Drosophila melanogaster: one gene and its partner. The protein of the gene in region 2 interacts with the protein of the main gene of each other region in a pairwise test. Each region holds a gene or a part of one and is shown on either strand. Other genes may lie near its edges.

Region 1 (3,225 bases), on a different chromosome or scaffold from region 2:
TTAAAACAGCAAATTTTCAATCATTTTGTAGTATATATTTTGTTGATCGTGCCAACATTTCCGTCCGTCCGTCCATTATGTATGCAGAATAGGATCTATATCTGAAGCCAGACTTCAACGACTGATGGGTATCTAATAGTCGAGAAAATCGACTAAGGCGTTTATTCTTAAATGGCAACGAGTAATGGGTATCTAATAGTCGAGAAAATCTACTAAGGCATTTAATATTGATTGTTTTGTAATGCATTTTAATTTGTTATCTATTTAATAAGTTACAGTTGTTTCGATTGGCATAAAATGGCCCTGATATTAATATGAGGAGGACCTGAGGGGAGGCTAGCCTTTTTTGTTTTATATATATGGTAAATGATACCATATCTTTAAATACCTTCTATCTTTAAAGATTTAAAAGATCTAGGCTTCCGAATATAGGTTTATGCATAAGATTATCATACATAGGACAACCAGATTTATGTAAATAGTACACACAACACCGACAACAACAAAATTATTTCATTTGACAATATTATATTTCAGAAAAAGAAAACAATACAACTTAGGATATTATATTAGATATTTATATCTATATTTATATAAATATTTATATTTATATTTAGTTATCTTGAGCTTAGAATTAGTGGGCCCTGTAAGCGCTGGGCAGACGATGGCATTCGTGATGACCGATGTGTCTCAAAACTGCAATTAAACAATAATATCATTTGTGAAAATGTTTTAGATATGTTTATAACCAACCTGGCTTAAGTTCATTGCGACGCAGGCAGTTCAAAACGGCCAGTGCGCAGGAGTTCTCCACCCTGTAGCAGAGATGACCATCGGTGGCATAAGCTGGACTATGAACCCTGGGGCAATGGATGGTGGCGTGGCAGTTGCGATGATGATGAACACCATGAGTTCCGTGATATGGTGCCTCCAGATGGTTGTGGTGGATTGGATGCTGATGGTGGGATCCATGAACTTCTTGAAATGGTGCCTCGAGTTGTTGGTTAGGATGTGAACCATGATAGTGGTGCTGAGGGGATCCGTGGATAGGATCATGCGATTCAGACAACTGATGATGATGGTGGGGCTCAGATAGGTGATGGTGCCCTTCTAGGTGATAATGGGGTCCGTGCTCGTGAGGATGCGATTGAAATTGATACAGATGTACTCGTTGATGTTGATGTTCTTTTCCTGCAGACAATGACTCGTTAGGAACGATTTGATGCACTGAAGCATCTTCGACAGGCAGATATCCTTTCTGGGGAACCTTCGCTTCTAAGATAATAATATCCGATCTGCGCAGAAAGGATCCTTGGGCAAGGACCATCCAAGCACTCAGCAAGAAAACGAAACGCAGAGCCATATTTTCTTCAACTGATGCTGATTCACAGGAACCTTTTCGGTTTTATACCCAGAGCACAATAGAAACCGAGTCCAATAATTTAAACTTAATAAGAAACCCATTTTAATTAGAAATTAATTAAAAGATAAGCACCGCAATAGCATCACTAGTGGGCAGCTAATTAAATAATATAAATACTCTCAAGCAGGGCATAAATCACAACCTTGTGGTATATGCAGGCTAGGAACGTTCAACTCGGGAGTTTCTTTACCTAGAGCTCTGAATTCTAAACCCTCAGGTCAACCCGAGTTGACTGAACCCATTCGCATGCTTACATCTTTACAAATGGTCTTAAATATAATGGTCTTTTAATATTTTTATTTTGATTTTGCCCTATAATTCTCAACTGATTCTAGTAAAGACTGTGTGACTGGACGTGTAGTTTAGAGTCACGGAATATTAAAAGTAAACTATTTTACAATGTGTGTATTTAACAGGTGTGATTACTTGGAAACGACTAATGTTAGGTATACAAGTGTTTTAACTGTTATGTACCTAAAACTTATTTTAAAATGTGTGACCCAAAATATAAATAATCTCATAAACTGGAATTGTGACCATATTTCTTCAGCTTTTTATTCACGTTTCATATTAAAATAAAATGTTAAGTTCCTGTTAAGAAAGGGATCACTGAAGAAGATATATATCTATTTAGATTTATTTGTTTACAAAGTGCTACTAAATCTATCTCGCGGACTTCACAAATAATATGTAAGTAATTAAGCTACTGTATTATTCTGTTGTAATTATATTAGTTAATTGAAGTTAGGTAATTGTAACTCTAAAACCCCAAAGCAAACGTCACGTGGTCAACAGAAGTGGATAATTTTAGTGAATTATATTGGACATGCATGGAGTTACGCTTTTCTATCTTTAATTAGTTTAAATAATATTTAATATAATATAATAAGATACGAAATATGTGCTATTCCATTAATAGGATGAATAATATTTATACTGAGCCATATATTATATAAATGTACATTTTTATATAACACAAACAAAATGAAATTTATACGGATTACATATTTATAATATTATGTTAAAGCGAATTTTAAAAATTATTATTATTAAACAATAGTTTTTTACCATATCTTTTAAACTGGGTGTGACTAAAACACTTTTATATTATTCAGCGCACTCGCTTGATTTCTACGTGACTTGTTGGCTGTTTGTTACGCAAACACGACTTCGATATTTGGTTTCATGCTTGAGGCCCCAAAGAGCCCTAATAGATAAAAACAACTAATAGATTTAGGTGTAAAAGTTCATTTACTTTCGTTCACGCTTAAAACATTCTGCGTGGCTTACAAAAAAGCTGTAAAATTGAATAAAGGGAAATAAGTCAACTGTAATATCTAAACATGTAGTTTAACTCACTCTGGCCAGTACGACAGGTGTGAGCCCGTTTTTCACATTCGTTACCAAAGTTTAGGACTTCGCCCTTGTAGATTCCAGTTGTGGGCTGGTAGATGGCTGTACAAATGTCGGCGCATTGCTTCTGACACTCCCTCTTTGTCGTTATGGTCAAGGCTTTTATATAATCAACATAATATTCGTTTGATTAATTCTTATTAAGTTGTAATAAGAAACTGCTCACCTGGCTTTCGATGGCAGTTCTCCTTGTCGAAATAACACTTATTCCGGAAAACATTGCAACCTCCTCCAAGAGCCCAAACAACTTCCTCCGTATCCGGACATTCGCCTGAACAGTTACCCCTAACTTGGCTCAAAGCCACACACAGCAAAAGGCAAATATATAGAGAGAAATTCATGTTTAAAGGCCTCGAAGTTTTGGAATGAACTGAACAGATCGTTTGCCA
Region 2 (4,945 bases):
TAATTTCAAAATATATTAATGATCGCTTATATAATGCGCAACAAATTTCATTTGGCAGCCACGAAAAACTGCAAATGAAATGTATTTGAACTAGTTAAAAGTTACGGAAGTAGTAATAGAATATTTAAATATAAAAAATCACACAACAAAGTCTTTGTTTATTTATTTATTTTTTTTCAACTATTTAAGTTAGAAGAATCTCACGATGACCATTTTATCACAATGCCACCCAGCTAGCAAACAAATTCCGAAATACCTATGTATGTATGTATCTCCTGAAGCCCCAATGGGTAATTAACTTGTAACTCTAGACTTTTGGCCACCCATCGAGCAAAAGCGGCTGAAATCAACGGCTAATTGGCTGCGATTTTCATGCCCATTAAGCGCCAACTGTCAGCCAGCCAGATGGATGGATTATCATATACGAAAACCGTCAACAAATTGCACCAAATAACAAAGCCAAAAACCGAAATCGACTGTGAACGAGGTTTCATTAGCCGCGCTCGAAGCGTGAAAACGTGATAAAATTTCGGTTTAGGCCACAACTATCTGGCCATAACTAAATCACAGATTGCAATTTGCGAACTAAGCGCGCAGTTTGGAAATCGGTTTGCCTACTGGCTTTTTGAGCTATCTATCGTACACTTGTTTTTTGTTTTTTTTTTTAAGATTTTATTCTCAGGTCCGCTCAATCACTGGCGACATGAACATAAATTACATTTTATTAAGTGCTAATTTCTGTTTTAATCTCGAAATGGGCAAACATTGGCTCGTTGTTGATTTCGCAGTGGCGATAAGTCAATTTACTTGGCAGCCAGATAGATAAAAGTCACTTCAAGATTGGCGCCTCAGATACAGATACGATTGCTATTGATGGCGTTTTGTGACTGCTTTTAATGGATGGGTAAGCAGGGAAACCACTTATACACAAATTAGATAAGGATTTCTGTCTTAAAAGGGGTATATTCATGTAGTTAGAAATAATGGAAAGAAATTAAGATTCAAATTGAACTATTTTCCAAATTTATACAATGCCACAACAGCAACACCCATTAGCATCACCACAAATCCCAAACTTCCAAAGAGAGCTAAAGATTTGGATGTCTCCCTGATACCGGAATCTCCAATCTCAATATCCCGATCCTTTGGAGACACATCCTCTTCACCGGGCATCAGCACGCGGAAGGTGAGATGCGAGAGTTCCGAGACTTCGGTGCTATTGCCGTGCGAAACGTTCCGTCGCCTCCGTTGGCCCACCGATGGCAAACAATCTTGGGCCGTCACCTGGCAATCCTCGCGTTCCAAGCAGCCAGTGATGCGCATGGATATGACCAGAACCTCCCCACTTCGCATCCCAGGGAACATGACCGCCTTGAAGTGCAGTCTCTGGCCAAGCGGAGGTTCCAGAATGGGTGGATGGGCGCAGATAGCCTGCATGGCGGGATTTAGACAGCCCCTCGAACTGACCAACTGAACCGTGTTAAGGATCTCTCCACCGGTTGCAATCCTCTGGAGCTGAACATCACTGAGTTTGGTGTAGTTCCAGCCTGGAAAGATACAAGGCCATATCTTTTAAGCCTTTAGGCATTTAATCGTAAGGTGACATACCATCTCCGGCCAGAACGTGGGCTCTTAGAAGGAGCTCTTCGCCCAACTGGACGGCACCGTTGTTTTCCAAATGACGCGTGTATCCAGTGCTTCCTTTTCTCAGCAACTCCACGTGGGTGCGGAAAGCATTTTGATCGCCTCCATGGGCGTAGCTACCTCCACTGCGAGCTTGTCTGAAAGAGGAAATTTTAGATTTCAAAAACATCCAATCTCTAATAGAAATCCTATCCTACACATCATTGGCCACGCCCATTTTCAGGGCATGCGTTTTGACAGCCACTCGCTCTTGAGCCTTGCAGTGTAGGGTTAAGATCGAATCTCCGCTGGTTCTTAACCCTCTGATGGCGGGGAATCGCAAACGCAGACAAAGATCCTGGCCACAGGATCTCACACCACACCGCTCAAAATTCTCGCCAGAAATGTCCAAGAGCAGAAAACTTCGAGACAGCCTCAATTCACAGCGTTTATCCTGCTGATCATCATTGTCCTGGTCCACAGTCGGTGCTGCACCCAAAAAGCTGTCCAACTTGAGAACAGCTCGAAAGTAACCCGCCGAAAGGCAACGCATGTCCTTTAGCCGCAGTCTCAGTTGATTTTGATCCTGGTTTCCATCACTGGGTGGCAGGTAAACGGGAGCAGGAGTGGATGGTTTTTGGGGGAATACTGGAACAGCCACTGGGGCATGATAGTCGTAGCCTGGCGAATGTATCGTCTCAACATCGTCTCCAGGATCTTGTACAATTATGGGTCTCGAAGTAGTGGTAGTGGTGGGTGTGGAGGTGGTTATGATGCTTCCTCCAGGTTGGGGATAGTAGTAAGCTGGATAAGACTCCTCGCTTTAAAAAATGATGCGGGTTTAAATGGTTTGGCAAAAAATGTATCTTAAAAAGGCTATAGTTATAGATAGGATCGTTAGGATCTGAACTATGTATCTTTGAGATTGGTAACCCACCTTGGTTTGGGGCTTTCGTAGTTGGGACGCTCGTCCACAGCTGGCGGTAGATAGTGCTGACTCAGAGGTATAAAGTTGCCATGTCCCGATCCCTGAATCTTCACACTGCGATTTTCAATGATCTCCGGCAGACTAAACTCGGTGGTGGCCACAGGAGCCACTGGGGCAGGAGTTATGGGAGCAGCAGGCGGAGGTCCATACAGGTTCGAAGGCGATAGTCCCACTTGGAATGGCACTTGGCCATGCAGATAGTTTCCGTAGTGTTCCAATGGCGAAGCGAAGAAATGCGACACATCCGCGTGGGTCTGGTGGATAGTTAGCAATCCAAATAGGGCTATGATCCGCTTGGTTGACATATTGACCAATAACTGACTGATTGGGCCGCAAGTGATATGGTTTTTATAAGCTGAGGCGTTTGGGCGTGACTCCTATGGCCTGGATTAATTTAAGGCCAAATTATTCTGGAACCTCACACTTTCTCAGCTATCACTTTTAATGGTCGGGTCCCCAAAAAAAAAAAAAATGCCACACGACTTCGATGTACTCAACAGACTTTCCATGGTCACGAATGGGTCTTGAGTGGGTCAGGTTATGTAAAGCTAATTGCGAAGTGCTCTCCGGGGAATAAGTAGCCAAGTTCCAAAGTTGCATCTTCGATTCACTTGCCGCACCACCAGCTCCAGTCAGATTGTCCCACAAATCACTTGCCATTTGACATCTCGCTTGTGGACAACTAATGACAACAGCTGCGACACAGCAGCATTTTGGCCATATTGCGGATTTCTGATCGCTGTTAGCCAGAAGCCAATCAAACCTAACGAGCCGACAATCTGTCCGTTAATGTGCCCATTTTGGGCAGGCTCAAACAAACAGTCATCGCAGAGCGTCATAATGGAAACTAAACAGGGGGAAACATTGTTCCTAAGCACATTTTTGGGAAATCATAGTTAGTTAATATCAAATGTTCGATCAATATACAAGAACTAAACAGGTTTATTCAGATCAAAATATAATGGCTTATAAAGAATCCATCTAAATGTTCGTTATAATAATAACGCATATCTTTTATGATATATTATATATGTTTTTGAGCCACGTTTATGGTCTTTCAATCAGCTAAACATGACATTTATATAGTGAGCCAATTATTTTTGATGTAACTGTGCGACTGAATGACTGGTTTTCCATTCAGCTGGCTACGATTCCCAGCGGAAGATTTGCCAAATTGAATGCAATTTATTAAATTAACAACACACTCCATTTTCCAATCTTCGTGGGGGGGATTGTTAGAAACTTAAACTGGATCCTCAGCCAGTTGATATATGACTTAAGTCTCGCCACCTCTTGCCATACTTATAGGCGATTTCCCTCAGGATCTCGAACGATATCGGTTGCGCGAAACATGCCCGGCACCTCGTATCCCACGAATAACGATAATTTCAGCAACGGATTTCCGATGGCCACCACACAAAGTGAGCGCCTCTTGCAGGCCCAGAATCGAAGAAAGTTCAGTTTTCCAGCCACACTACATTCCGCATCACTACTGGAGGTTGGTGGTGGTCCCAAGGAGACCACGAGGCGTAGGTTGAGTAATGTCAGCGATGCCGTCACCAGGAAACTCTCCTACACGATTGGCTGGAAGGCGGCACAGATTCCAGCGCAGGATATCATTTCTCAGGTGAGCTGGTAGACGAGGAATTCCTTGCACAAACATATAATATCGCCTGATTCCAAAAATCATAAAAAAACCGAAGGGTCGTTGCCTGTGCGGTCATTATATCAAGAGACGCCTCAGAAGATCTGGTTTGTTCAACAAAAAGCTGGGACTGCAGCGCATACGTAGCATACTGGGCTCCACCTCCATGGGCATTGTGCGCGATGTGTTTCCAGCGGTCCAAGTGGTAAGCAAAAAATAACGCTTTATTTTATTATATTAATCATTTTACACACCTTTGCCCAAGCTGGGCGATGAACTGGAGCGCATGCATCCCCGGATATACAACGGAGTAGCTCGTCAGATTTGCCGGAATCCGGGTGGTGAGTTCCATACTCCGGATGCTGTGAGCTTGCTTTTGGGAGCCGTTGGTCGCGAGCTCTTCCGGGTGGAGATTACGTGGAGCAAGGTGATCTCTCTGTTCGCCATCGCCGGTGGGCTGTCCGTTGATTGTGTACGCCAAGGACATCCGGAATACTTGCCCAAGTTGATGGAGAGCGTTTCCGAGGTGATCGAAGATGAGCTGGTTCCGTGGATTAACGAGAATGGTGGTTGGGTGAGTTTCTCCGATCATTTCATAATTGTCGAGGTTTCATTTCAATGATTTTCCATTTTAGAGTGGCATCAACACACACGTTTTACCCACTACCAACAGCCTGAATCCTTTAGAG

Evidence for each region.
Region 1: the proteins of CG13196 (region 2) and CG5866 interact in a two-hybrid assay, tested with the Drosophila melanogaster proteins (one large-scale study listed by BioGRID).

Annotation. Positions count from the first base shown.
Region 1 is NT_033777.3:17,413,884-17,417,108, reverse strand, and holds CG5866 (uncharacterized protein), read right to left. Parts: upstream 1,371-3,225; 5' UTR 1,364-1,370; coding exon 754-1,363; intron 697-753; coding exon 635-696; 3' UTR 604-634; downstream 1-603. Other genes in the region: CG42822 (uncharacterized protein), read right to left, coding at 2,710-2,720, 2,783-2,935, 3,003-3,177.
Region 2 is NT_033778.4:11,683,499-11,688,443, forward strand, and holds CG13196 (uncharacterized protein), read right to left. Parts: upstream 2,937-4,945; 5' UTR 2,917-2,936; coding exon 2,561-2,916; intron 2,445-2,560; coding exon 1,842-2,444; intron 1,782-1,841; coding exon 1,609-1,781; intron 1,548-1,608; coding exon 1,012-1,547; 3' UTR 667-1,011; downstream 1-666. Other genes in the region: buffy, read left to right, coding at 3,963-4,238, 4,315-4,461, 4,522-4,830, 4,892-4,945.